Linked DNA regions of Oreochromis niloticus. The protein of the gene in region 1 interacts with the protein of each later gene in a biochemical or structural test. Links are inferred from orthologs where the notes say so. Each region holds a gene or a part of one and is shown on either strand. Other genes may lie near its edges. The genes, in order: tjp2a, ctnna1 and cgna.

What was found.
Region 2: the proteins of tjp2a (region 1) and ctnna1 form a complex in vitro, tested with the Homo sapiens proteins (2 studies listed by BioGRID and IntAct, with this or other methods). The link is inferred for Oreochromis niloticus from reciprocal best matches to the Homo sapiens genes TJP2 and CTNNA1.
Region 3: the proteins of tjp2a (region 1) and cgna form a complex in vitro, tested with the Homo sapiens proteins (2 studies listed by BioGRID and IntAct, with this or other methods). The link is inferred for Oreochromis niloticus from reciprocal best matches to the Homo sapiens genes TJP2 and CGN.

Annotation. Positions count from the first base shown.
Region 1 is NC_031972.2:31,498,354-31,505,542, reverse strand, and holds the start of tjp2a (tight junction protein ZO-2a), read left to right. Parts: upstream 1-4,160; 5' UTR 4,161-4,166; coding exon 4,167-4,385; intron 4,386-7,189. UniProt on the Homo sapiens protein: Plays a role in tight junctions and adherens junctions. Acts as a positive regulator of RANKL-induced osteoclast differentiation, potentially via mediating downstream transcriptional activity.
Region 2 is NC_031966.2:29,112,213-29,119,351, forward strand, and holds the start of ctnna1 (catenin alpha-1), read left to right. Parts: upstream 1-4,062; 5' UTR 4,063-4,419; intron 4,420-5,902; 5' UTR 5,903-5,915; coding exon 5,916-6,020; intron 6,021-6,249; coding exon 6,250-6,445; intron 6,446-7,139. UniProt on the Homo sapiens protein: Associates with the cytoplasmic domain of a variety of cadherins. The association of catenins to cadherins produces a complex which is linked to the actin filament network, and which seems to be of primary importance for cadherins cell-adhesion properties.
Region 3 is NC_031976.2:20,779,652-20,786,997, forward strand, and holds the start of cgna (cingulin), read right to left. Parts: upstream 3,028-7,346; 5' UTR 2,814-3,027; intron 1-2,813. Other genes in the region: she (SH2 domain-containing adapter protein E), read left to right, coding at 4,576-5,022, 5,440-5,566, 6,955-7,209. UniProt on the Homo sapiens protein: Probably plays a role in the formation and regulation of the tight junction (TJ) paracellular permeability barrier.

The DNA.
Region 1 (7,189 bases):
TTAAGATGCTTTGTAGGCCTATAATTGTACCATAGCAATACTTTAAACTTGTATCAGGGAAATAAATTATTTCAATATCTTTACTTTGATATGTGTGTTCGTTTTTTGCTTCAAAATTATGTTGCTTTAATATAAAATAGAGGGCAGTATCCATGGCTTCTGTTGATTAACCCGTATTTCTATGTGTTGCTTACTGGTGAGGTTATTTCCCCTCTTCACTGAGTCAAGTTTCAGTCTTTTGACAATGTCTGACTGCTGATTGTCAACAGCTTGTTCATTGTTTTTCTGTTTACAAAGAGACTCTATTCAGGGCAGAGGGTCCTAACAGAGCAGGTTAAACCGGTCACACCAGTTTTATATCACCACACATTCACCGCTCGAGTAGTAACAATAGGAGTGTGTACAGGTGGCAGCAACAGCCTGAATCACTAACAGATTTTACATCAGTGCTCACTGTGGCTACATACTCAGAGGAAGACGGTGAAAGATATGGTGGAAAAGTGATCCTTGAGTTACATTCTTTAGTGTTTGATCACCAAATATGAAACCTCATTTAAAATGTGACAAATGTACACAGACATATGTGTGTTTGGCTGCTGGCTAACACATGATTTTAGGCATGTAGACATAATCAAGATGACGTGCTAAAGTTCAATGTGAGCATCAGAATGGGGAAGAGATTCATGTTACTTTAAACATCACATGTTAGTTAATGCCAGGCAGGCTCGTCTGAGTATTTCAGAAAATGCGGATCTACTGGGATTTCCCACCACAACCATCTCTGGGGCTTATAGAGAGTTATCAGAAAAAGAGAAAATACCCAGTGAGCAGCAGTTGAATGTCAAATCCATCCCTTAGCTGGTTTCTTGAACATGACGAGTCATGCTATCATGTCAATATGGACGAAAATCTCTCAGGAATGCTTCCAGCACCTTATTGAATGAATGACAAGTGTCATTGTGGTGTTTTAAAATGCTGTTTGACCAGACTTAAATGCGCTGGCTTCTGGGTCTAATAAAGCGTAAACAAATTAAGGTATAGGCATTTGAGTATGTTAAACTGTACTAGGGAAATGTGACAGATATAGTACTGTCTCACTGTCTTTAACAGCTGCTGACAGAGAAACCATTCATAACCTCTTACTTCCCCCAGTTTTCTTTCACTCCTTCTCCTAACATTTCCCTCTGTGTGTTACATGGACTGGTTCTCATATAGCACTTTTCTACTCTGAGTACCCATTTACACACATTCACACAAGCACTGTTTTCTACGCTGTTTCTAACTGCTTTCTATCTAACATTCACACGTATGCTAACATGGGGTTAGTATCTTGCCTATAAGGATATTTGGCATGCAGACTGGAGCAGACTGGGATCGAAACACCAACCAATCCACCCCTATACAGACAGTCCGAGACATGAGAAATTTTGACTGTCCCTACAAGACACATTTCTAAAATTTGCCTTTTACTCAATGCATATGAAGGGAATGCATTTTATTATAGTCAGAAGGATAAGGTTGATCATATTCACCAGGAGAAATTACCAAAAAGTTACAAGCTTTGCAGATTTTGGTGCCTATGATAGAAACTACCACAAAGAAAATGAAGCAAAAATGAATACATACTGTGTTTCAATATGGTGTCAAGTAGCACAGTATATGTGTCATAATTGATTACAAATTGCCAGATATGGCTCAAAAAAGGGATGCATCCCTACTGAAAGTCAAAACCTGTTACCAGACAGAACAGCAGCTGAAATAACAGTGAAATAAAAGAATATAGGAGAATAAGACTTTCACATTTGGCCACAAGAACAAACTTATGCTTCCTTTTATCCTTATTATATTTACTTAGCGAAAGAGCAGGAAATGTGATATATTAGTCCTGTAACACGCTCAGTTACTCTTATTTTTAAAATAGATACAAAAATGTAACACTATCACCTGCCATTGTCCCACACAGACACACTGATGCGCTGCTTATTAGCGGCCAGCTAGATTAAACAAATTAGCGTGCTAAACCATTATAAACCATTCATTATAACAATCCAACTTATTAGAAATTTTAAAAAATGCAAACAAAAACAGACTCATTCCAAGCTTGTAACAGCCCCCTTCCCATGTTTGTGGTCTCAGTTAGTCGCTTTCCCTCGGTACAACACCCCTGCATGTACTCACCCTCATTCCATAACCAGACAATCAAATGGGGGCTTTTCCTTTTTTTTTAAGTAGGGTGACACAGGACGGACCGACAATAAAGCGATTAGTATTTGATAAGACAAAAAGGGCTAAGGGCCCTCTCTTAGAGATAGGGTGAGTAGTTCAGTCATTCAGGAGGAGCGCAGAGTAGAGCCGCCGCTCTTCCACACAAGGAGCCAGCTAAGGCTGTCACCGACTGGGTAAGGTGTCCCGGGCGGGTATGTCCAACTGGGAGGAGGACCCGGGGTAAACCGTGGATGTGCTGGAGAGATTACATCCATCGGTTGGCCTGGAAATGCCAAAATACTTCCCTGGATAAGCTGGAGGAGGTGGCGAGAGGGCGGTATGGGCTTCCCTGCTTCGGCTGCTGCCTCCGTGACCTTATTTCAGATAAGTGGAAGAAAATGGCTCCATGTTTTCTTCTTTTAGTTTTTTTTATCTACCTTCCTACTTTCCACCACTGGTGTTACACATGCTTTCATGGTGTAATGTATGTAAAACGAGTGGCACTATGGGACTACTGGGTGGATACCAGGGAGGCCAATCACATTTCACAGGGAGCCAGTGCCACCCCATCCTCCCTATGTGGCTACACCCCTGCTGTCAATACATGAACTCAGGATGATCAGGATGATACAGGGTAAAAGAAAGAAAAGTGACATTTGATTAACATTGACAAGCCTTATTTATTAGTATAATTATTTTTAATTTCATTTATTTATTGATTACATCATAAGAGAAAATATGAAACTATGGAAATCTATACATGTTTTCAAGCTTTTAGGAATCTTGCTCCAGGCCTTAATAGACATAAATGAAAAAAGAGATTCACTCAAAAGAACTCCACAGTCAATCTGAGCAGCTGCCCTTGAAGCTCTACTTATCAGCTCTGAGCAAAGTTGTCCATATGTTTTCTGCAGTGCAGATTTAGCACTGAGAATTAAAACGAGACAAACATCTGAGTGCAAGATTAGATTCACATAACTGCATATTTTGTGTTTACTAAAGTTATCTCTGAGCATCAGAAAGAGGAAAAATGACATTTTAAATGGCTTTGAACGTGGCATGGTTCTTGGTGCCAGATGGGCTGGTCTGAGTATTTTAGGAACTGCTGATCTGCTGGGATTTTCCCCACACAACCATCTCTAGGGCTTACTGAGAATGGTCCAAAAAAGAGACAATGAGCAGCAGCTCTCTGGGCAAAACCTCACTGTTGATGTCAGCTAAGAACAGGGGACTGAAGCTACCGTTTGCACAGGCTCACTGAAATTGTACAACAGAAAACTGGAAACGTTTTTGGCTCGATTTCTGCTGCGACACTTAAAAGGGTAGGCTAAGAATTTGGTGTGAACAACATGAAACCATGGATTCATCCCACCTTGTACCAGGGGTTCAGGATGCTGGCGGTGTAATGATGTGGGGGATATTTTCTTGACATACTTTGGACCCCTTAGTACCAAATGAACATCGTATTAACATCACATCACCTACACGATTATTTTTGCTGATCCCTTTATGATCACACCCCCTGATGGCTAGCAGCAGGATAACACGTCATTTCACAAAGGTCAAATCATCTCAAACTGTTTTGTTGAACCGCTGGTGTCTGTGAGTTCCCTGTACTCAACTGGCTTCTACTGTCACCAGATCTTGTTGTAATAGAGCACCTTTAGGATGTGGTGGAAGGGGAGATTTGCATCACGGATGTGCAACCAAATGTGCAGCAACTTTGTGATGTTATCATGTCAAAATAGACCAGAATCTCTGAGGAATGTTTCCAGCAACTTGTGGAATATATGCCATAAAGAATTAAAGCCACGCTGGACTCTTGCTATTACTAGGTCCAGCCCAGTAGTAGCAACAAAGTGCCTGATAAAGTAGCTGGTGAGTATGGAGTTTCGGTATTAAAGTCCCTTTATATGACACAGGAAGAGTGACTCAGAAGAATGGCACCGCCCTAAAAGGTCATGAGTGAAACTGCAGTGGAGCTGCACACAGCACACCTGCCGTTTCTAAGCTACGCCCACATACCTGAGAGAACCAGGAAGAAGGATTTTTCGAGGCTCGCCAAAACTTTGTTCCGTCAAAATCCTCTCCTTCTTCACCCTTCCTTTGTCCAGTTCAGCTTTTGGGATTACTCTGCTGCCTGCGGTCACATAAAGACAGGACACACGAAGTTTCACCTGGTAAGTAGGCCCGGCATTGTCCGCAGTGAGTATCGATTTGCTTTCGCCGTGTTTGTGGCGCGCACTGCCATTTTACCACATCTTTAATGGTGCCTCTGTAAATTGAAGGTGTTGCCCTGACGGCTTAAGCAACAGATAACATTTTTTATCTTGGTGCTTGAAGGCAGCAGCGTGTCATATTTTAATTTATTTGAGAGTTTCTTGTTGTCAAAACGTCAGGTATGACCTACACTGTATTCGGGCCTGCGTGTAGCTGTCTCCTCTGCGTGTGTATTCATGCGCTTACTACTAGTTTCAGCGCACTAGAGGCACACCTCAAGCGCCTTTAGGCAACTGTTGTAGTGATTTGGCGCAATATAAATAAACTTGAATGAAGTGAAATTGAACAGGAGCTCACACTGTGAGTGTTTCCTCGTGTTTTATCATTTTTATTATTATTATTATTATTACTAGTTTATATCTTAGCAATTTACAAACATTCAAAAATATCATTTCATTGCATAGATATAAACCAGCATAATCACAAATGACGTGCTTATAACAAAAAAGCAAGAGAAAGAAACCTCTCGGATAAGTTTTTATTTACTGACATGCATTTCTGATCACTGTTGAGGTTCAAAGACTGAAGGGTGGAAGCTATAAACTATTTTAAACATGGGGGTGAATCATAGACTGTAGATAAAAGATGGATACAGCCAGAGTCGCATCACCCAGTGCCATTAGACTAGGATATAGAAGTTTGCAGTGTTACTGTTTTTAGCCACTGCCATGAGGAACCAGCAATGACCACATTTGGATGAGTTTGGAGCACTAGCTTGGTTAGCAGCCCGTCTCTATAAACTGTGCAAGTAAAACACGGAGATGTACACATGCTACTCCATAGGACTTAATTTGTTATAAGTTATAGTAAGCCATGATTTTTTTGTGGTAATTCCTTCAGAAATCCTCCAAAATGTACCACCAGTGCTGAGGCTTATAATGCATCTCTTGGCTAAAACAGCCTGTTTGGGACACCTGTAAATCACAGGAGCCACACCATATACTTTAAAACTAAAATAATAATGATATTAATAATAATCACCACACAGCTGGTATGAAAGTGCTAGCTATTCATAGAAAAACTATTCTAGAAAAACAGCTGTTTTTGGCACTTCCACATTGGTTTCATTTTGTAGTTCTGGAGGCTGCTTCTTAGCTTAAACCAGGTGTCGAACTCCAGCCTCGAGTGCTGGTGTCCTGCAGGTTTTAGATGTGTCCTTGATCCAACACAGCTGATTCAAATTGTTAAATGACCTCAACATGTCTTCAGTTCTCCAGAGGCCTGATAATGAACTAATCATTTGATTCAGGTGTGTTGACCCAGGGTGATATCTAAAACCTGCAGGAGACCGGCACTCGAGGCCTGGAGTTGCCCACCCCTGGCTTAAACTAACAGTTTAAGCTCTTTGGATAAATATCTTTCAGAATAAAACATAAAGATCGGGAATAGTGAAAAAATTTTTTTTTAAAACATTAAAAAAGTAAAAAACATTAAAATTGCACCGTGTGTAAATATAGCTATACAGCATGTGCACCCTTAAAACAAATGGCAGAGTTGCACTTTTATCATCTCGAAATCTTTGCATTTACGTGTTTGTGGGTCTTATATTGTGTAATGTTTTCAGACATAGTTCTTTTATTTTGTTTACAATTCAGTATCTAAAAGGAAGTAGCCATTAAATGAGAGTGAATACAAATTTTCCATGTGGTGGTGTTTACCTGTACAAATACTTCCTGATATGTGTGTTTGTGCAATTTTTGGCAGCAAGAAAACACAGATGTTTTTTTGGTTTTTTTTAATCTGTTAGAAACCTGTTTAAAACTAGAAATATATTATTATTATTTATCAGGTAAATAACAAACTAAATTTGCATTTTTATGCCCAAATTTAAGACAGTACACTGGACTTCTCTGAAAAGTCAGGAATTAATCAAGTATAAAATTCAGCCACTAAAATTACTTGTTCAGGATTGCAAGTAAATAACTGTAATTTGGTATCTTAATCAAAAAACGATCCTGTGTTTTATTATTTTTCAGCTTTTTTTTGTAAAACGGTAAATCTGAAAATGTGCAAATTACAACAATATTTGTATTTTTCTGTTAAAAATATAGTTTCAAGAGAGAGTGTGCACTTATCGGTGGATTAACCATTACAGAAACATAAAAAATATTTTTGGTAATTACCAATACTGTTAATTTAGGACAGCTGTGGCATAAACCTTACTTTGGGTGGTATTCTGTGTAATATCTGTAGATGTGTGGTTTACAGTACTGTGCTTACGCACATTTCAACATGTCTGTTGTTCAGGCTAAAAACCTGAAAGACTTGGATTAATGGAATTTCACAACTGGTACATCCCCAAAAGAGTTTAAGTAATCTGCATGGGGGGTCAACAGTGTCATTGAGTTTCTTGGATCATGGTCCTCATGAACGGAAACACTTCTAGCAGGGAGACCCAGCTTTTTACAGATAAACTGAAAAGTGTCTTCTTTCCATCTCGTGTTGCTTTTTTGACTCTTTAATTCACCCCTCCATGTCACTACATGCTTGCAGCTGATCCAGATTATACCTGTGGAGGGGATGTGCACACTGATTTTTTTTTTCTCCCCCTTTCCCTTTCTGTCTGCACACTCTCATCCCAGATTTGTGAGTGGCATGTGTCCCTCCATCTGGCGCTCACATGCATTGCATACGGACATTGCATAATGGCCCGGGCCTTAGTAATGCAGCACCCCAGCACTACTCGAGCATGTGGGGAAGTGAC
Region 2 (7,139 bases), on another chromosome or scaffold:
GCTGACTTCTCTCTGATGCCATGCATCACCACACACTCATTTCTAATCAAGGTACAGGGTCTTACTTAGGAAGGGGAAAGCCTGCAGATGACATCATGCAGCTCCATGGACAGCTGTCAGGATGAGTCAGGTGATCGTAGGCAGACTGAAAGTCGCTGTCTTCCTTATGTCAGGGAACAAAATTCCTCCAGCAGCGAGGCAGCTTCCAGTTCAGTCACCGTCAAAGCATGAGTAACTACTTTGACAGGAAGCTATAACATACAGTTGCATCCATGACTGAAAAAAACAATAGATAATAACACAATTGTGAAAGATGCTTACATTTAGTAGTCACCATGAGCATTTCTTTTATCGGCGTGGAGCAGTGCCAAGGACTGTGATTCAATAAGATGCTGTGTCCCCTGAATAGAAATGTAGAGCTAATCTATAGAATCAATGATAGCTAAGAGGAAAGATAGCATAAATACCAGTTTGGATTTTGATTTTTGTAATGTTCACCTGACATAGCGCAAAATAATATTGCCACATTTTCTTCTAGTGCCACACGCTGAAGATTTGCATGCACTCAATTATACATTCAGTATGTGACAAACATGTGCACTTCCACATAATGAGAAGGAATTATTTATAGCATGCTGCGCTCTTATCATTTGTCGGGCCCAACAGGTACAAAAAGATGAAGTTCAAGGACACCCAAACTTGTCCTCCCAGCAAGCTGTTACTTAGACAAACATTCATCATTCAAGAACACAATTACACCACATCTAAACCGTCTTCTCTATGGAGTATTAATTGGATAAACAGATCTCTGTTACACTATGTACATGCCAGTTTTCTCTGCTCTACACTGAAATTAATAATGCACACAAGATAGTTCACTGCTGTATTTCCCTCCCAAAGAATTTAATATGGAAATTTAATCCATGACTCCTTAAGTTATAGCATGGTCAAAACTCTATGGCAAAAACAATTACTTCACAAATTATTATTACACACACACACACAAAAAAAACATTAAGGAGTGTCTTTCTGAAAGATAATTATATTCCGAGGCCTTCATTAAGAGCTTGATAAGTACATTTGTAAGCTCATTCTCTCCAAGACTGTAATTCATGCTGCACTGGTGGAGCTTCTTAATTAACACCTACTCAAGCCAACAAATAGAAGTGTGTTAGTTGTGCTTGGCTGCAGGACAAGACAGCATTGTTGATTGTAATGTTCTGTGTGTCCACTGCTTTGAATTACTGATGACTGTCCTCTTTTTTTGGAACCATGACATGAAGCACTGTAGAAAAGTCTTATCTCACCCATCAGTTCTTCATATTTTGCTTGGACAATACAGATCTATTGAAACATGCAATCACGTATAGTTTGTGCGATTCTAACAGTTTTGAAGGTCAGTATTTGGTATGACTATCCCACACTGCTTCAATAATGTTGAGGTCCAGGCTCTGTGGATGCCAGTCAACGACTGATAGTGTTCCATTGTGTGCTTTTCTATTCAGTTATGCTTTCACTGCAGTGGCAGTGTGTTTGGGATCATTGTTATGCTTGAATATGAAGCTGTTGCCAATCAGACGCTTTCCACTTGGTATTGCATGATGGATCAAAATCTCATGGTACTTTTCTGCATTCATAAGTCAGTTTAGACAAGCTATCCAACACCACTGGATTAAATTCAGCCCCAAACCACAACAGAGCCTCCACCGTATTTTCCACATGGCTGTGGACACTCACTGCTTTTCCTCTCTCCTGAGCTACTCCATACATTCTCATAAAAATTAAAACCCACAATGTCAAACTTGGATTAATCGCTCCACAAGACCTGCTGCGATTCCTTTTTAGGCCTGAACAGACACCCCAGTGTTGGTTTTGTGTGTACAACATCATCATAACAATGTTGGCTCAACATTGCAACTGACCAGTCACGCTGTCGGAGCAAACCAACACAAGTAACCTAAATTTGGCTAAAAGAAACGCTAACTTGATCATATGTTTGTTATATTGCATAAAATTATTTTAAAAAATTAAACACTTACCATTTGTTCCATAAGAGTTTAATATAAACAAAGTAATTTGTTTTCTTTTTTCTCAATATTCCAAAGCTATGACATCACAAAAATATGACTGGTCAGTAGCAATGCTGACCAACATTAACAACACCAGCACAGAGATAACAGATTTTTTTAGTCCAGCTCTTATCTAATATGGCATACTTCAGTCTTTTTATTCCTCTGTTTGCCTTTAGTGGCTCTCCTGAACAGTAGGCCAGTTGTACTGCTCAGGTCAAGTCTTTGCTGGATTTTTCCCCCCTTTCTCAAGCACATGATTTTCACAGGTCCATGTTAAGTAGCTTAACAAACACAAAAACACATTCCTCCGAAAGTGGTCAGGTACAAGGACTGGACTGAAAATGACTAAAAAGCAAACAATGGCAAAAGAAAAGCCTGGAGGACTTTTACTTACAAACACTTTGCAATATTGCAAGAAAGTCTGGCTCCTTGGAAGCAAAATGTTACAAAATGAGGGGTAACTCAAGACTTTTTCACAGTACTGTATTTCTTTAAGAGGTGTCTTGTGCCATAAACACACATAACATTAGAAGGATACAGATTGAACTTAATTAATAAACTATTAATTGCCAGCTCTGCAGCTAGTTCTATACAACCAAGAACCAAGAACTGAAGCTACCACTGCTATACGTGTGCGCGTGTATGTGTGAATTAGAAAAGTGAGGCTAGAGGGGTGGCACCTGGCCTCTTTAGATAATCTATTTATGTCTTTCACACTTCATCAAGCCTGAACCAAAATACCCAGCACTTGAATATGTTTATCAAATGTCTCAGTGTTCTCAGTCACTGCTGAAACAAACCACAAAAGTGCAGTCCACAACATACGTGAGATATATTTGCTCTTGACCTCGTAAGAGTTGAATTCATACATGTTTGCATATCCACAAAGCATTTCTAGATATGCTGGTTAATTTACTTGTCTAGAATGCCTGCAGTGTTTTCGTATGATGTTTATTTATTAATAATAAATGAGTAAGTGGCGCTTCAACGTGCCCATTGTGTCTGTGCACCTGATGCCACATCAGCTGGCTTTCCCTAGGGGATTCTGTTATACAGAGTTGCTAACATGTAAAACCCATGAGCATAAACAAAAGATAAACATAATTTTAGTTTAAAACAAATCGAGCCGCTCAAAATTTAGTTAACATTAAAGATGAAAGGAGCTGAAAGGAAGATAATCAGCAAGTTAGCAGAAGGTACTGTGATGTGCAAAAGTTTTGATTCACCCCTCTAGTTCTGCATATTTATGTTTAATGAAATATGTGCTAAGATAAATAGAAATACAGTAAATAAGGAAAAAGTAGAGTTTGCACAATTCTGATGAGTTTTGCACGGCCCGTGATACTTCACAAAAAGATAGTTTCAGTTTGAAAAGGCTCTGTTTTACATTCTGCTAGCGACGCACACAGAGAGACAGAGTAAGAAAATAAGCATCAGACAAAAGAGCAACTGCCTGTGGTAATAACCTTAAACCTTGGAGTTTGTTATCGACACCAGCTCATTGCTGTCATTGAGTGGTGCAGTGCAGAGAGGAAAGTAAAGACAGGAGACAAAGGTCCAATACATGAGTTAACAATAATACGAGATTATGAACTGATTTGCTCAAGGAGAATTTCACTGTTTTTTTTTTTTTTAATGATTATTTTTTCTGTTGTGATAGACTTAAGAAGAGTAAATCTTTTCCTGGCTTTCTAGTTTAGCCGTTATGATTGCATCTCGAAGAAATTCTGGCAGAAAAAACAAAACAAAAACTATTACAATAAAATGTCACGTCTGAAAATCCCCTCAAATCAAATGTCATATTTGAACATCAGATTCCTTCATAATGACTACTTTCAGTTTATTTTCCTTCCTCGGTCAGAAGCCTGTTCTGTAGCCCAACAGTTTAAATAGCGCTTCCCTACTCCTGCCTTTATGGAAGCAGTAATTAATCCATATATGGACATACACAGCGAGCACCACGCCCAAAACACCTCCTGGTTTTACGGACTTGCTGTGGCCCGTGGCCTCCCTTCTCCACTGCCTGGAAGTTCAGGAACTTGGTCACCGCCCAGCGCCCCCCTCCTCCTCCTTTTACCGTATCTATTGTTGGGTAATACGTTACTCCATCGAAATTCTCCTAACCGAAACTTTTCAGCTGACTTGCTGGAGCGCTTGTGATACTTTTCTGTATAGCCGTCGGGCGGAGGGAGGAAAACTTAGGTGTTTATCGTGAGTGAGCGGCGCAGTTAAACTAAGTCCGTGGGGCGAGGAAACGGGAGGAAAACTTTTGACGCAAGGAATTCCGCAATTCCCATTCCTCCATTTTGAACTTTTAAACTTCACTTTGTCTAACGGACTGTTGTCGGTGAGTATATAACGAGTCTTTCTTACTTTATGTACAGTGAATACTTAAAAAAAATGAGTGGACTAGTTATTTGGACCGTCTGTTGAGGCGGTAAAGTTTGCCGCAGAAAGCAGGCTAACAGTTGTTTGTCGCTTAGCATTAGCTTTAGCTCATCGCTGTGTTTGGAGAGCTCCGTGTTACAGCAGGTAACCTGCATTACGCTAAGCTAAGCTGGTTTTAATGTTACCTGTAGCCTGCGGTTAATAAAGTATCGAAAATGACCTAGATGTACCGTTATTGGGTGTTAAATGTGTACACGAGTATTTTCTGCTTTGTATATTCTCGTTTGACGCTTTTTGACGGGGTAAAACCGACGTTTGTTTAGGTAGTTTTAGCAACAGGTGGAAGTTGAGCTAATGTTAGCACACCAGGTGTTTGACCCACCCTAGTGCTTCTCAGCAAGTGTTAACATGTTTCTTTTTTGTTACGGGATTTTTCCTGTTTGGATACAGTATATACACTTATTAGTACCTACATATGGCTTAGTTTGAGAGTTTTAAACCATTAATATTATTTTTGCCCAAGTCACGTACATAAACAATCAGTGGTCTCAAGCCTGCTAGACTGTTTCGATTTCATTTGCAGAGATTTGTAGATATCACTTTGCGACATGTACCACGCCCATGCAGAGGAGGTGAACGCAGTTTCTCCCACGCTGGCCCTTCGTGTCATGACTAGCATTTCACGTTGCTTTCAGTGGAAATGCGTCATGTTGTGTGGACAAACAGACGTTTCGTCAAACAACCTTTACAGAATTTCTTTTTCAATACACTGCCCAACATTATCAGTTTCACTGCGTGTTAACTCATGGGTAGAAACTCTGTGTATATCGGAAAGAAGAAAAGTGGTTAATAATACAGGAGAACTGAAAATGGCTCGCCTAATATATAACGATTCAGTATAAAATTAGACAGCCATGGTTACCATGTTCTTCTCTTAATATTTTTGTATTTTTGTTGGTAATGTAGGCTAATAGCTAGTGTTGTAATTCCTCACATAATACAGCTGACCAACTTTTCAGTTGAAGCCCCTCAGCCCTCGGGCCATCCTGATTATCCCTGCCCCTCCATGTTTGATAGCTAATCAATGGGGTCGCAGCCACTGCCTGAAAAGAGAAATTGAAATTGGGCCACTGTGTTGCTGTGCTCTGCCGTTGGCATTCATTCTGAAAGCAATGGAGCACTGCCGGCTCTAACAAGGACTTTAATAATTTCTTTAATGCACCGAGTTCTAGACACTAGTCTGATAATCTGAAAGAAATCTTGATTTATGAAGAAAAATTATAACTTTAAAGTCATTCAGGGAAGCAAATATTCAGTTAATCAAAGGACAGAGATGTCCATTTTTTCTGTAGTCTACATTTTCTGCTTCAGAAGAATTAATTTGTCATTTGTTTCATTTTTTTCTCTTTGACCTTTTTTTTAAAAAAACAAACAAAAAACAGTAAACTAGACATCATGACTAGCAACACCGCACCAAACATCAACTTTAAATGGGACCCGAAGAGCCTGGAGATCCGTACTCTGGCAGTGGAAAGGCTGCTGGAGCCTCTGGTCACACAGGTAATACAACAAGTATTAATATTATTAAAAGGAGGCACCTTACACATCTTATTTCACAAAACAGCAAAGTAAAAAAATATGATTTATTTCTGTGGTTCATTCTTGCATTTCACCATTTTAATACTGTGGTATTTTGCCTGGCAGTGTCATATGTTGTCTGTTTTTTAGACTTATCACTATTTATTAACTGTAGGCAGGTATATAATATCCTAATGAATCTCTGCCATAGGTCACCACTTTGGTAAACACCAGCAATAAAGGACCATCTAACAAGAGGAAGGGGCGCTCCAAGAAGGCCCATGTTTTGGCTGCATCAGTGGAGACTGCTACCGAGAACTTCCTTGAGAAAGGCGAAAAGATTGCAAAGGAAAGTCAGTTCCTCAAGGATGAGCTGACTGCTGCTGTGGAAGATGTCCGCAAGCAAGGTATATTGAAAATACGTATTGCAGCAGTGTGGCTTCATGCTTGTACAGAGTGCCTCTTAAGAAAGGACGGATGAAAAATAAACCATAAGCTATGTATACATCATCTGCTCCAGCAGAAATCCTTGAAATAAGAATGTGGTTTGAGTCTGATAGATTTCGTTTAGAAATGGGTTTTTCAATGAGGCCATTAATAGACTTTCAGTTTAAGCATGCACATGGTTCAGATTCATTTCATGCTAGATGGTGTCATTGCCTTACCTTCTGTGGGGATCAAATGTAACCACTTTTCCAGAGAAGCCTTTGTGTTCTCTTAGCGCAGTGTTAGGATACTCCCCAGTTATCTGAACTTGAGAATCAACCTCACCATATTCAGTGTTGTATTTTCTGTGCTACCTCCCGTTTCTTGTCCTTTGTTTTTGTTATAGAAGGATACAAAGATGTGGTTATATTATAGAGGTTTGCATAACATCAAATCAGTATTATTTTACTTGTGTTTCTTAATGTTCAGAACTTATTTTTGGGTAGTGTGTGGGGTATTCTTGGCTTTTAAAAATCCTTACCGAGGAGTCTACTATAAACTATGTAGTACTCACATGAAGAACTAAATTCCAGTTTAAATCTTGTGTTGGCCAGAAATCATAAAATGTATACAAATTAGGGTGTAACATGTAATTGCACGTTCTGTACTGATTGC
Region 3 (7,346 bases), on another chromosome or scaffold:
TGTCCAGCTGATGTGGGGCGGAAAATGAGGGCAGCAATTCTGGAATGCTTTAACTACCCCTGCTGCTCCTGCCCCTTTCTCTTCTGTCACACTGTCCATCTGATTATAAGAAGTCATTTTCAATGCTTAAATTTTGCTTTTAGGCTTCACTCCAAAGTGTTTTTTCCTCCACAGCACTCTAAATAAACATGCTTTCTACACTGAGAGTAGGATGGCAAACAAGCTCTCCTTTGATCTTAAACTCGTGAGTGAAACTAACATGTCACACCTAAGGTGATTGTTTCAGGTCTGTAAAACCCATGAATTTGTTTTTTTTAAATACAGAAAGCAATCCATTAGCCAATAAGCGACTAAACAGTGTTCACTCTAGAGACCCAGAATCATAACTATGAGTACTGCAACTTTAATAACAGACCAGCTTTGCTTGCACAGCTATATCTGGAGCTTTTGTAATTTCATGAGAGTCGTGCTACCCTGCAGTTATGCTGACGAGCCTGTGCCTGTGGCCTCAAACTCAATTCTCAAAAAGTAAATTGAATTGAAGCTGCTTTCGTTTTAAGACCTAAGGTGGAAAGGAAAAGGAAAAAAGAATGAGGACATCAGAATGGGTGAGGAGAAAAATGAAACAACGGCAACGTGTGGAATCACATGCCTCTGCTGACTCAGTCCACATGGCTAATGTGATCGCATCATCTCTAGACTGGCCCAAAAATGACACCGCTGGAGATGGCAGACAAGGGTAATGGCAACATGTGCCAAAAACATATCCTTAGGGTATAAAAACAACCCTTCATGCCAAAACGTAAGCACTACAAGTACGTAAGCATGTGCTATGTTTTTAAGTAAAGCCAGTCTTCTCTCGTTCTCAAACTATACGAGAACAGCTTTGCATGAGTCACAGTTCAAAACAAACCTTGTTTATCCTATACTGGTCTTTGGTTTGACTCCTCAATTAATTAACACCTGAAACAATTCATTGAGCTCCTCTCCCTTTAAACTTTCTTTTTACTGGCTACCAAAAGCAAACAGAAGGTTTGAACAGCAAGTGGGCGGAGCTTCTGTCCTCATAAAGCCACAAAACCGGACTTGGCAGAAACGGTTTTTCTAATTACACATCTTAATCAGAAAAATAATAATGTGCTTTACTGCTTTTGTAAAAAATAAAAATAAAATAAAAAAATAAAGCAATAATTAAGATTTTTGCATCCAAAACATAATTTTGATTAAAGAACTTTTAAAGAACAGAAACATAAAAATGATTTTGGTTACCGATACTGTTAATTTAGGGCAGATGTGCCATAAAACCTACAATGCGCGGGGGTCTAATAAATTTGGTAAGCACTGTATAAACGTCTTAAGAATGAAAATGTAAACGCCTGTGTGCTGAATGAGCTTGAAAGCGATGGAAAACAGCCAGACACTAAACCAAGGAAGCCTCAAAACACCACATCTGAAAATATTTGCCCTTAAAAAAACCCCAACAAAACAAATAAATCAAAATGTTATCAACTCATAGCTAGTTGGACTATTTGAGAGCTAGTTTACAGCATGCTATAAAGCTGGCATATGGATGCTGTAAAAAACATTTAATCCTCCTTTTCTTCCAAGTGAATCATAAAGTTTTACAGGACTGTCCTGCAAATCACAAATGTCATCATGTAAGCAACAGAGATACAAGTGCTGTACTCTCTCTTCTGCTTTTAAAGGAGAGTCAGGTACTCAGTCCTCAGAGTATACTCCCTCTCCATTACATTCTTGACATAACACCAAGCCCTCATCCTCTTTCACCCTCAAACAAACACCCATTTATTCCTCTTCTCAGTGCAAAGGAGTTCATTGGCATAACAATGTACAAAAAAAATGACACAAAAGTAGGAGCACATAAATACACCCCTCCCTTTTCCAAATTCCTGACACTGGTCTCTCTGTCCTTTACACATACAGGGGCTGAAAGTGTGTCAGTGTGGGAGACTCACTTTATGGCGTTTTATCTGCACACTTGAGTGTATCAGCTGCTTGTACGTGTAACACGGCACAGGTCTTTTATCTGTTAGTCCAATGTGAGGCATTCCCACCGCATTACGAGTTCTGAAACTGTACCCGAAGCTTTGCAGGCTCAATGCTATAATTAGTGAAATTCACGACCCAATCCATGAGCCTTTCCCCACCTCAAAACTATAATCTGCTGTTCCTTCTTGCCCGTGTCATCAGTTTCACATGAGCTGTGAAGAGAACAAAAGCAGGTGTACTTTGAAATGCATGTTTATCCATTGTTTACCCGGGTTCAATCCTTTAATGGTTTCCCTACAGTTGCATTCATCCTTTTGAGCTATGTGCTAAAAACGTTTCTCCTGTACCGTTGTTCCAATGACAGATCTCCTGGTCGCACAGGTGTACACAGGTGTGCACAGAAACGGAAACACCTGGCTCATTTCTAAACAACTTTGTGGTTTTAAAAGTTAAACCTCTGACAATAAGCCTACCTTCGCTATACTTACATTTGTCTTAAAGAGACGTATTATTCTGTTTTATTTGTCATTTACTTCCCTTCACTTAACGGGCAAATCCAAAAGTTATCTTGGAGTAACGTTAGCTGGTAGCGCTGTTTCTCTCGAACCATCGTTAGCTGCTCAGCTACACTGGCTCACAGTGACACTACCAAATAAACTATTACATAACTGCCATAAATCAAAAATAAGTGCCGCTGGGCAGCACCAGAAACCCACAAAGCGTCAAAGTAACTGTCCGAGGAGCGGCGCCTGTCTGGTTTAGTTGTCTGGCTATGAGAGGTCCCAAACCCAGCGTGAACTTACCTCTTTTTTTCTGAACTTATTCTTCTGCTCCTCTCGTATCCTCTCGCCTGCTGTATGCCGATAATAATTCAGATATATTGACTGACATCCATTAAAGCCCACACGGAAACGTGAACAGAAAAACCTAACTCCTACGGAAATTATCACAGCAATAAGTTCATTATGCTGCTGCTGGGAATGCAACCTGTTACCTTTTTGTCAGGGATGTAAACGTTCCGCCCAGCCCCGCCAAGTACGGCGCTGTGATTGGGCCGTTTCGCTGGCTTGGGCGGGGCTATTGATACTGTCTAGGTTTGTAATTGGTGAAACCTCCATGCCACTCATTCCTTGTTTCTGGACCATTTTTTCACCTTTTTTTTGCTGAAAATGGAACTTGTATTTTTTTTTTTTCCAAATAATGACCCGCGTAACCTAGATAAACAAAACTTTTCAAGGACTACTGATAGACGCAGGTGCCTCACAACGTTTATTTCTCCTGTTAACCAGTAGATGGCGCAGCCGTACACCGGCTGGTTCTCTGGGCTGTAGCACTTTGCTATCATAGCAACAAGATTGTAGATGGCATCGGTTGGTGTCTTCCAACCAAAATTGTGATTTCTTTTCCCTTCCCACTGTCACCAAGTGCTTGCTCATAAGGGGTCATGTGATTCTTGGGATTTTTCTTACTAATATTGTTGAGTCTTTATGTAAATATAAATCACCTTCAGTTGATTATTGTTGAGAATACAACAAAATTAAATTGAAAATTGAGAGCTTGAAAAGAAGGCAACGAGACTTCTTTAGATTTATGAGCATGTTTTGCCTCTCATCGAAAGGGCAGAACTGAAGAAGTCTCGTGCACAAGAGGGGAAACATCTTCATGAACCCACTGAAGTCCAGTCTACTGGATAACTGAGAACCTACAGACATATTTAAACTTCACTTTTCCAATTTAAGCACAATTTTTGACATTGTAATAGCTTACCCGTGTAAGATTTAAGAAATCCTGGGAACATCCCTGAGTGTAAAAAAAAAACCCATATAAATAAATATAACTTTTTTGTCCTTTGTTATCTTTTGCTGTTGCAATGTTATGTGTGTAGAGCTGAGCTGAACACAGTTATTAAACTTATTGTGTGTTGAAGAATAAAAAGAAAAGTTTTAGAGTTTGGGTTCTGGAAATAAAAAGTTTTCATGAGATTTACAATCTTCCTTGTTGAGTAAAACTGCCACTCCGCCCCGTGCGCGCAGCTCCTCCCCAGAAACCAGCGACATCCCCCAGTCTGCTCACTCCAACTTTCCTCTCCTTTCACTCCTCTCATCACTTCGCCTGGTCGACAGACTGGACGCACTATCTCACGCTCCGGGAATGGGATCTTTACTGGGTTCAAAGAAAAACTTCCAATTCTTTCGAGTTTATGCTCTGCAAAAGTTACTTTTCAAACTGCAGGGATAGTTGTTACTGCAGGTGCAGGGTGACAGCAACACAGAGCAGCTGGCTAATGATCTCCAAGACGCACCAGAAGTTGTGAGAGAGTCTCAGGAGCTAGGAATCAGCATAGAATCATAAAGTGGGATCTGCTTAAAGTGATTAGTCAGATATCCTTGCATACCAAAGTTACTTCAGTCGAAGTGTGAACAAAGTGAGTGTGCGTAAAGTTGGAGCTGTTGAGGAAGGCTAAAAGTAACTTTTAGGGGGAGGCTAATGCAAGGAGGTGGGAAAAAATCCAGTAACTTTTAGTAACTTTTAAAATCAGTAAGAAGTGTCATCAACTTAACAACCATGGCAAAATGGTTCAGAGATTTCCCCATCAACCTGAAGAACGGAAATGAAAGAGTGCGCTCAGCCTCCGAATCTGGTCCACAAACTCGACCCAAACCTTCATTTTCACGAGACAGTTTGAAAGGAAATCAGCGCAGAGATGGGGGAGTGGGGGGTTTGTTGGCAGGGAGAAATAGGAAGAATTCGGCTACAGAACTGGGTCGTAACAATGCTGGTTCTGGTGGAACAGTCTGGGACAGTCTCACGGCTGGAAAAGGTCGCAAGAACACCAAGAGCGACACCGCGTCATCGGATGAGAACCGCCAGGTCAGGACCTCTAGTGTGGCTCAAGCGTACATCAGCAGGATGATCAAAGTGGACAAACAAGAAAAGACCCCCAAACTCAATGGGATATGTGAACAGAAGCTACCCGAGAACGAGAAAGGACGATCTGACATTAAAACAACGGTGAGTAACTTATAGAAATTATATAACATGCCCATATAACATGTCTTCATATTTCAGCAGCTATTTATTTATGAATTAGTTCATTAAAACATCATTATAGTACAGGGCTTAAGGTCAGTGCTTTCCTTTGTGTTTTCCCTCCATGTCTCAGATCATAACCCTGTATTCAGTTTCCATCGTTCTCAAAAGAATACAATACAGTTTCACTTCATTGTTTCAGATCACACAGGCAAACACAATGCGCTGACCTCTTTGCACAAGTATTTCCGCTTGTCCCTCCATTACTTGTCACTCAGTCATGGACACCACACACATACACACACGCACAGACACACACACACACATGCACACTGCTTGTTGTCTCTGTGACTTTTGAATAGGTAGCAGGCCGGCATTGTGCTTTTCCCTTTTCAACAGCTGATTATCCTGGAGGACTATGCAGATCCTTTTGATGCGGAGAAAACAAAGGAGCAGAGAGAAGCTGAGAGAGCAGGAGTGAATGATGGGTACATGGAGCCTTATGACGCCCAGGTCATCATCACAGGTGAGGTCAGGGTCACATGATCTCGTATCTCAGCAGCCAAAGTTTTATTATGAAGGTGCTTCTTGGCTTTCCGGAGTTTTGGACTGTTTTCTCAGCAGCTGAGCAAATGTGAACGACATATTTTTGTGAATATAGCAGAAGAATTCAGTCGTGAACTTGGTCCTACAGCACATCTTTAAACAGAATGGCAGAATCGCTTATAGAAACACAACAATAACACTAGCAACATCCTTCCTACATCTTCACCTTGTATTTTTTTCTTTAAGTTGACTATCTTTTATTTTTCTGAGAACTTAATTCCAATTTTTTAACCTTTTGCTTCACTTTGTATATCGTGCTTGATAAGCCAAGTGTATTGTGAGCTCGTAAAGGAACACTAATTATACATCTTATTTAAGTTTATCAGCACTTAGACTGCATCACATTCTTGTTAACTTATCATTTTAAAGGGACTGAGAGCCAAGCTAGATCCTCAGTCTCTCTACTGACTTCCCTCCCCGCTGGCGGTGGCTATAGTAACAGTGTTGTGCAGGGACAATGGGTGCAGCTTCCTCTTCCAGCTTCCTGTCTCCTGCCTCTGTTTCCTTTGCCCCATTCTCTCGATAGGACATTGGCCCTAATGCCCTCCTGCCTCCCCTTCCACACATACACAAACACACAGAGACAGACACCAGATACTTTATGGTCCCCTGCATGTGACAAGAATCGAAAGCCCCCCTCTCACCCCTCCCTAAAAACCTACAGGTTTCCCCCCGGTCTCACCCAATCACTTCCCAACAGTCAGGAAGCGGTCCGGTTAGTGAGCCAATCAACGGCTGTGTTGACCTTTTCTTCCTGTAAATCCATTGTTTGGTCACACAATAGTGTAGACACACAGGCTACCTGCCGGGCACCAAATGAAAAAACAAAAAGGAACATAACAATTAAAATTCCCCGAAAATGTTAAAAAAAGACAATATTCAAACAATACTTGATTTATTTAAAAGAAACGAGCAAATGAAGGACAGAACAGTGGAGTCTATATATGTAATCAGCACAATGTTGCTTTACAGACTGTGTGGTGTAAACTCCTAATTTGTGCACTTGAGTGAAAGCTTGTAATAAACTAAGGATGTTTCTAAACGTCAGTTTTATTCTGTATTTTGTCCAAAATATCTGATTTGGACTATAGTGGTTATGTTTGAAATGGCACGTAAATTATTTCAGTAAAAGTACATTTTTAATTTTTTTCTACTGTAATTTAGTTGTTTTTCTGAACACATATTGTAAGGGAAATGTGCTTTAAACACTAAGGTGGGGGTGTAATATTGAAGGGAAGGCCAATTATGTGCCTTTAGCTGTTCAAGTCTTATATACAGTTAGCTAATCACATATCCATTCTGCTGTAGAGGTTCGTAGACGGGGCTCCAAAGACCTCTTGAAAGTATGTGTCCTGTTGGATCGAGGCCAAAGCGAGGGGAAGGCAGAAGAGGTAATGCCTGCACCCCCAAACATCTATGACATACCCTACGAAGGAGGACTGGAAGGCGACAGTGAGGGCGTGTGGATCCCTGTCACACGACCGGAGTCTGATGTCCGTCCAGCTGGAGAGTACGAACTGCCGTGGGAGTGGAGAAAGGAGGACATTGTTAGAGCTCTGTCAGGTAGAGAAAAGGAGGGAGGGATCATGGGAAGGGTGGGGGTTTAGGGTTTAGGGTGTGGAAGAAGGATAACGAGGATTTTGTTTGTACAGCACACACATAACAGCAATTTTGTGTTTACTTTATTGAGGAAACAAAAC